Macaca mulatta: one gene and its partner. The protein of the gene in region 1 interacts with the protein of each later gene in a biochemical or structural test. Links are inferred from orthologs where the notes say so. Each region holds a gene or a part of one and is shown on either strand. Other genes may lie near its edges. The genes, in order: RGS4 and GNAO1.

Region 1 (3,915 bases):
TGATGAAATAAGGGCGTTAGGCTACATTGCCTTTAAAGTCCCATTTTGTCTTTAAAGTCCCATCTATTGCAGTGATTTATATTTAACTCATGACAAATCAGGCTTCTCTTATTCTAAGTCCAAGAGATAAAGCTCTTATTGTGGAATTTCAGGCATCAGTAAACCTTTTCGGGTCCTCACTTATGTTCCTAAAATCAATCTGTTTGAGTGATCACTCTTTTAGGTGTCCATGTAAACAAAGAAGGCTGTGGTCTTTCTTTGAGTGACCTTCTTTCCCTTTTAATTAGTGTGTCCTCTTTAATGTCAGTTCCAACTGATTCCTCTCCCTGGTCCATCTTCCTTGGTCTAAGGGCCTCCCTAATTTCACATTGCACTGCAGTTCCTTCCACACCACCATCAAGAATGGCTGTCAACATTCACTTGTTCTATGTTATAATTCAAGGAAGAGTTGCCCAGTATCTACTCTAATAAATGTCTTTCTATCTTTATGGGCGGCTAGAGGCTTTTTCCTATAATTTAAATGCATCTTCGGTAGATTATGGTCCCTCCACCACCTTACATTTGTCTGCTGTCTCCTTGCTCTGCTAGTCATGGAAGGTGTTGGTAGTGGGAGCAGTGTGGGATGTTCAAGGGCACGTATTGGGTCGGGCCATGTATGGGCATTGCTTTGTGACATTCTTTCTATATTTTTGGTATTTTGCATTTCACTGGAACCTAACTATTTTTCATCTCTTCCACCTAAACCATTTGATGCCTCTGTTTCTTAAATATAAAGTACAGCTCACTGTAGCCTATGATCAGGAACCTATCTGCTCTCAAAATGAAAGCTGTTTTGGTCAGATCTAGCAATTAATTCTCTTCTTCCACTTATAGCTTTCCTCTGTAACTCTGGTGTAGGTATTTGATATATGGCTATAAGATGTGAAACACCTGAATGATTCTCTCCATGCAGGCGTTTCAGTTTATGATATTGTACGTAAAAGATACTAATTGTTCAGGTGTTCAGAAACACCTATAGGGCTTAATATTCTTAACGATTCGTTTTAAGGCTGGTGATACGCAAAGCAAACTACGTATTTTTCTGCCTGCTCTGTCTCTTTCTCTCTACATCCCTCTTTCTTTATCTTTTGAAATATCAGTTTGGAGACTTAGAATTACATAAGACATAAACCCATTTGATATAAGAATTGCTGTGTATATTTGCTCACCTACTCCCTCCTTTGGTCCTCAAGCTGCTGGTTTAGACTTTTTACAGGACACAGGCATGTAAAGGAGAAACTGTCAGTGCTAGGCTGAATTCTGTTGTTACCAAGATTTCTAGAAAAGTATTCCTCAGTCAGGTTGATTACGGATATAGCAAATCTATTTTTCCTAGGGTAGTTTCTCTATGCAGCCGGGCTTATAACTGTCTGTCATCCAGCTATTTCTCTCCACCTTCTTGTTTGCATAACAACCAAGGCAACTTCTGCAAATCACTGCGTGGAGACGATGATCCTGCCAGCTCCCTTTTGGAAATCGTGAGGATCAGATCTGGGACCATGTATCATATGATGCTTCTAATCCAAAAGAGGAAGGGCACTGGGAGTCAGCTCCTAAGTAAGCTTCAGAATTCCTGCTGGTACTTTTCCTTCCAGGAAGCAACTTTCCTTGATATTGTTTTTTACAGAAATATGAATGAATACTATATTTTGCAGCATTGTACACTTTTTTCCTTTTCTAGAAATTCTAAACCTCTGACACTGGTAGAGACATTGAGTACATTTTTTTCCATATCCCTACTTTGCTGAAGGATTTTCTCTGCTCGTTCACTTAGCATTGCTGATGCGTCAGTCTTTTCCTCCTCATCTCTTTCAGGGGCTGGAGAGGCAGAGGGAGACAGAGGAGCTGGTACTGCAGAGCTGTCGTCTGATTGGCTGGACCGTCGTAGCTGGGCTATAAAAGAGACCCCTACAGGCTTAGGAGGAAGACGCTCAGAGGATTCTGAAAATATCTTTACCGGAGAAGAGGCAAAGTACGCTCAAAGCCGAAGCCACAGCTCCTCCTGCCGCATTTCTTTCCTGCTTGCGAATCCCAAGCTGTTAAATAAGATGTGCAAAGGGCTTGCAGGTCTGCCGGCTTCTTGCTTAAGGAGGTAAGATTGCTTTCAGTCATTAACCGTATTAAACTTTTGGATAGACTTTCTCAGTTATTTACATGTTGTACTTACTAACCTAGTTCTGTGCAATTAGAAACAGTGTGGTCAGGAGAGCACGACTTTCTAACTTTCCTCCAAGACTAGCTAGATACTGTGACTTAAGACATGTGCTCCCCAAATTTCAGTCCTTATGTATTGTTTCATGTGACCTCAGTTTTGAGAACTGTTCTTTAAGCCAGGTCTAAGCAAGCTAGTTTTAATTAAGAAGTGAGATGAGGCTTGAGGCTATGTATAGTGGTCTGCAATATCTCCATCTGTGATTACTGCTGTTATTTAAGCATCCCTGGAGTACATAGAAGCCTGGGTCTGGGTTTTCTGATTGTATGCTACATCTTGTTTCAGGAAAGGTACCCCAGAATGAGGTTTGGCTCCATCATCAGAAAGGCACTATGCTTTCTGTGTAGTGCTGCAGTATCTTTCACTCTCTATGTTCTTATAAGCAAATGTTACAATAAGATATGAGTTCCAAAGCCAGATCTTCCTTATCTCTCTGCCCCATCTCTAGTTCTTAAAGTGTCTTATATGAGTGTGGTTGAGAAGTATTGATCATTACAAATCAGTTAACAGTTTTGTAGATCTCACCTTAAAGATATTGTTTTGTTAATATACTCTCTTGATTTTTTAAAAAGACTTTACAGACATACAGCTATTCATTTGTTTTTCGTTTGTTCAAAAAAGGTATAAACAAATGCATTCAGAGAATGATCGTATAGTAGTCAGTTGAAAATTAAACACAAAATGAGTGCATATTACATTACTTAATCTTGCAGTTAAAGGTAAAAAGTCAATCTAAAGGTATACTACCTGCTTTCTTATCGCGCTGCAAATAGAAATTACCCCAAATTTTATTTTGGAAATAGTCTCAGAAAACATAATTTTTTATGTACTATTAAAACATTTACTTTTCAAATATTCTGTCATTCAGGAGTATGGAAGTATCTATGGCTTCTTTAAAATGAAGCAGGAGGGTCTGGCAGAGAGTATCTATGAAATAAGTTCCTCTGACCTTCACGCTTAATTTTCTGAATGGAGTGGAGCAAATTACTTCAAGCTTCAGTTAACTTACATATGAAATGAACTATACAAAAATACAAGAGTGTCAGGAGAAAGTTATGTCCTGGTAAATATTTTGCAAAACAGATAAAAGTTAATACTAGAGCTCTGTCCTCAAAGAGTTAAGCAGCTAATCTAAGGAGGTAAACTCTATGTCAGCAGAATGAACTGCCCTTCCCTTTCCTCACCAGTAAATTGCAAATCGTCTAGTCCAACATCTTTGCCACCAGTGCCTGAGGCTCCACAGGAGCCATCGCCTGCTCAAGGTCACATAGGTTGGTGGGTGAATTAGGACCAAATCTAGATTTCCTGACTCCAATAACTTCTGAAGTCATTTTGGTTTTTATTTTTATGTTTTTTTTTTTTTTAAATAAGAATACTTGCTAAGCACACTTAGCCCCTGCATTGATCAACAACTCTCAGATCTCAGGTGGATCCAGCACATAGAAATATGAATTCATTTCTATTTGGACTTCATGATATACTTATATTATCACCTTGGAATCACCCTAACATTCAGGATTATATCCTGTTATCATCAAAAAAGATGTTGCATCCCCTGAGCAGTCATCAGTCAGGGAAGCAGAGGAAGGAAAGTAATCTTGCAAGGAAGAGAAAATACTATTTAAGGGGCAGTCAGAGAACATAATGGAATTCAAACTTTCTGG
Region 2 (3,815 bases), on another chromosome or scaffold:
CGACTCCATCTGTAACAACAAGTTCTTCATCGATACCTCCATCATTCTCTTCCTCAACAAGAAAGATCTATTTGGCGAGAAGATCAAGAAGTCGCCTTTGACCATCTGCTTTCCTGAATACACAGGTGGGTGCCAGGCAGTCCTGTGCAGGGGGAAGCCTGCCCCTGACAGGGACCCATGGCTCAGAGAACAGGCTGCTCGGCCAGCACTGCTGGGGCTAGCTGGCGAGCGGGACCCATTGCAGGAGTCTGGTGGGGCGCAAAAGAAAAACAGCGCTGTGCCACCAGGTTTGGGCTTCCCAGGACACAGCCCTCAGCGTGGTGAGAGTGGCCCCTCCTAAGATATATGTGGTAGGACCCAGTCACTCAGGAGTGACATTGTGGGGAGCAGGGGGCAGGACGGGATCACAGGCTTCCCCCTTCCTTCTGGTCACCCTCTAGGAGAGATCTCAGGATAGCCTCCTGTAATCTCAGCAGTGGCCTCCCCTCACCCCTGCCCAGGGCCACACAGCACCTTTGCATGAAACCAAAAGGTGGACACATGGCTTGTGAGCAGGGTGTGGGCTGCCTCTTGGCCCCACCTGCTTTCTCTGCTCCCTGTTTCGGTGCCCAGAACATGCTTCATCTCTGTGCAGCCGCCCAGCCAGACCACTCCACCCGCCCCACATCGTGCCCGCCTTCCTTCCCCAACCCCAGCCCCGTGCCCGCCTTCCCTCCCCAACCCCAGCCCCGTGCCCGCCTTCCCTCCCAACCCCAGCCCCGTGCCCGCCTTCCCTCCCAACCCCAGCCCCGTGCCCGCCTTCCCTCCCCAACCCCAGCCCCGTCGCACCTCCTCTCTCCCCTTCTTCCTCCGCCCCTGGTCTTTGCCCCAAATCCAACCACTCCAGCTATCTGCAAGCCTCCTCCATCCTTGCCTCAGTTTCTTCTGACTTCTCTGGGGCTTTCTTCTTGCTCTCAGGGGAATGTATCACAGACCTCCCCACCCCCCTAAATGAAGCTCTTTCCAAATGGATGATGAGGGAGGGTGGCTTCTGTGGGATGGGCCAGCTCTGGGCTGCTGCTAATGCCTAAAAGCAGCGTTGATGGGATGCCAGAGCCCAGCCCTGGTCCCTCTAGGGGCTGGGAAGCTTCCAGAGGTCCCTGGGGTAGGAGTCGCCTTTGCAGGCTGCAGAGTATGGAGGGCCAGCACCCTGCCATGGAGCAGGAGGTGTCTTGTCATCCGCCAGGTCAGGGCACAGGTTGGCTCGGCCAAGAACCCATGTTCTGACAGCCCCGGAGTAAGACTTTGGGCTCAGTCCCAGGGCCACATGGGTCCCCAAGCCCAGCCACAGGGCGCCACATCCAGCATAGGTCGATGCCCGTCTCCCCACCCTTCCCCACAGCTGGGAGCAGTGTGTGAAGAAGGGCTGTCAGCTGGTTCTGAGCACAAACCATGTCCTCACTGACAGTCCATGCTGATGTGAATTTGCAAGGTGGTTCTTGCTCTTCCCAAGGTGCAGAGTGGGAGGTGGGGCCAGGAACTATGCACTGCGCTCAAGGCTCTCGAACAAAGAAAGACCCAATAGGGCAGGCAGCCCAGGTGGCCTCTGCAGCCAGACCACCTGCAGCTCAGCAAGTTGCTCAGTCACCTGTGCCTCATTCTAATCTGGTCAACACAATGGATAATCATGCCCAGCCCAAGGGTGACTAGAGGCACAGCTACTTGGTGCCAGGTCTACAGAAGCGCTGGCTGTGGCTGCCATTGGTATTATTCAGAGGATGGAAACTAGGGGAGGGGGAACTGGCCATGGAGAAGGTGCCCTCTGCAGGATGGAGTGAGGGCAGGAGGCACAAGACAAGCCCCGAAAGGCCAGCCCCAGGTGGCCCTTAGGCAGAGCCAGGCTGTAGCCCACTCTGGGCAGCCACTGCTGACCTCTCCTGGCCACAACAATGGAGTCCAGCAGGCCCCCGCCGGCCAGGGCTACCCTCAGAGACAGGCCCAACCCTATGGCTCTTTCTTGTCCAGTGTCCCACTGGGGCCCGACTTGGGAGTGGCCATTCTCACTGCTGTGGAGTGCAGTGATGCTGTGGAGTGAAGCACTAGATGCCCCCGCAAAGGGCAGTCGGAACCTGGGAAACATGAGTTCTCCAGGGCCTTCAGAGGGATCCAGTTTGAATTCAGATATCATGGATGACAGATGGTCACCAGTGCAGTGGCCCCATGGAGCACAAGCCTGTGAGGGCACAAAACAAGCAGCACGGGTGGGATGGGAGGTGACGTGTGGGCCACCGTGGCCGGGTGGCAGCAGGGCTGTGTGAGTATGCTGGGCTCGGCAGACACAGGGAAGGCACAAGGCACTCCTCCCACCTGGACGGCTGTATGTGGCCACCTTCCACCCTGGGCTGTGCCCGGTTCGGCTCTCTCCAGACAGGAAGCTCCTGGGCAGGGTCCACACGGGCTGCTTTGTCCAATCTTTAACAGCTGTGCTGGGCTGGGCATCTCTGCACCAGCGAATCAAGGATGAGGCTTGGCCCTGTGGGTCCAGGCACTCCTACTGGGCTGCCCAGAGCTGGTCTCTGCCGTGATAACCCACCCAAGGATGCCCCCACCTCCTGCCCCTTGCCCCTTGTACACCCAAGGAATTGGTGGGGACAGAGGGCCCCCAGTTGGCACATACATGCTGATGTCCCCTTAAACTTCCCACCTTGGGGACATCGATGCCCCCATGTCCTGGCCACTCGCTCAAGAACCACGACTACTACTGATATGCTGCCAGCCCTGCCGAGTGGCCTCTTAAAGGAAACCAATGAGGAAGGAGCACAGGTCCCGGGTAGGCCCCTCTCCAGACTTTGTTTTCCTGGTTTATTGGAATCAGCAGGATTGGTTTAGACCATGGGGCGGTGCCTCAATTTGCTCATCTAGGAAGCAAAAGGGATCATCTGTGGCCACTGCTCTCCCAGGCGGGCTCCCGGGTGGATTTTGGTGTGAAAACAGTAAGGGATCTTGCAAAGTCCAAAGCCGGGCAAATGCTCGCCTGTGTGTGGTTGGTGCAAAAGTAATTGCAGTTTTGCTATGAAAAGTAATGGCAAGGCCGAGCGTGGTGGCTCACGTCTGTAATCCCAGCACTTTGGGAGGCCGAGACAGGTGGATCACCTGAGGTCAGGAGTTTGAGACCAACCTGGCCAACATGGTGAAACCTCGTCTCTACTAAAAATACAAATATTAGCTGGGCGTGGTGGCAGGCACCTGTAGTCCCAGCTACTCGGGAGGCTGAGGCAGGAGAATCACTTGAACCTAGGAGACAGAGGTTGCAGTGAGCTGAGATAGCGCCATTGCACTCCACCCTGGGCAGTAAGAGCAAAACTTCGTCTGAAAAAAAAACTGTTATTTAATTTAAAATGCAACTACGGCTTGGAACTGCCCAGCAGTTCTTCCTGCTGCCTTCCTCTCATCCCACTTCCTGGGACACGCCACAACCCACTTCTTGTCTTCACGTCCCCAGCCCTGTCCACCCACAGTGCTCACCAGGGCCTCTCCCTGTTCTGTGTCTTGTTACAGGCCCCAATACCTATGAAGATGCAGCCGCCTACATCCAAGCACAATTTGAAAGCAAAAACCGCTCACCCAACAAAGAAATATATTGTCACATGACTTGTGCCACAGACACGAATAATATCCAGGTGGTGTTCGACGCCGTCACCGACATCATCATTGCCAACAACCTCCGGGGCTGCGGCTTGTACTGACCTCTTGTCCTGTATAGCAACCTATTTGGTAATGATTCCAGCACCTACAGAACAGCTTGCGTGCGCGCGCACACACACACACACACACAC

Evidence for each region.
Region 2: the proteins of RGS4 (region 1) and GNAO1 form a complex in vitro, tested with the Homo sapiens proteins (2 studies listed by BioGRID). The link is inferred for Macaca mulatta from reciprocal best matches to the Homo sapiens genes RGS4 and GNAO1.

Annotation. Positions count from the first base shown.
Region 1 is NC_133406.1:20,800,201-20,804,115, forward strand, and holds the start of RGS4 (regulator of G-protein signaling 4), read left to right. Parts: upstream 1-1,474; 5' UTR 1,475-1,538; coding exon 1,539-1,596; intron 1,597-1,854; coding exon 1,855-2,131; intron 2,132-3,915. UniProt on the Homo sapiens protein: Inhibits signal transduction by increasing the GTPase activity of G protein alpha subunits thereby driving them into their inactive GDP-bound form. Activity on G(z)-alpha is inhibited by phosphorylation of the G-protein.
Region 2 is NC_133425.1:51,914,996-51,918,810, forward strand, and holds part of GNAO1 (guanine nucleotide-binding protein G(o) subunit alpha), read left to right. Parts: coding exon 1-125; intron 126-3,537; coding exon 3,538-3,725; 3' UTR 3,726-3,815. UniProt on the Homo sapiens protein: Guanine nucleotide-binding proteins (G proteins) function as transducers downstream of G protein-coupled receptors (GPCRs) in numerous signaling cascades.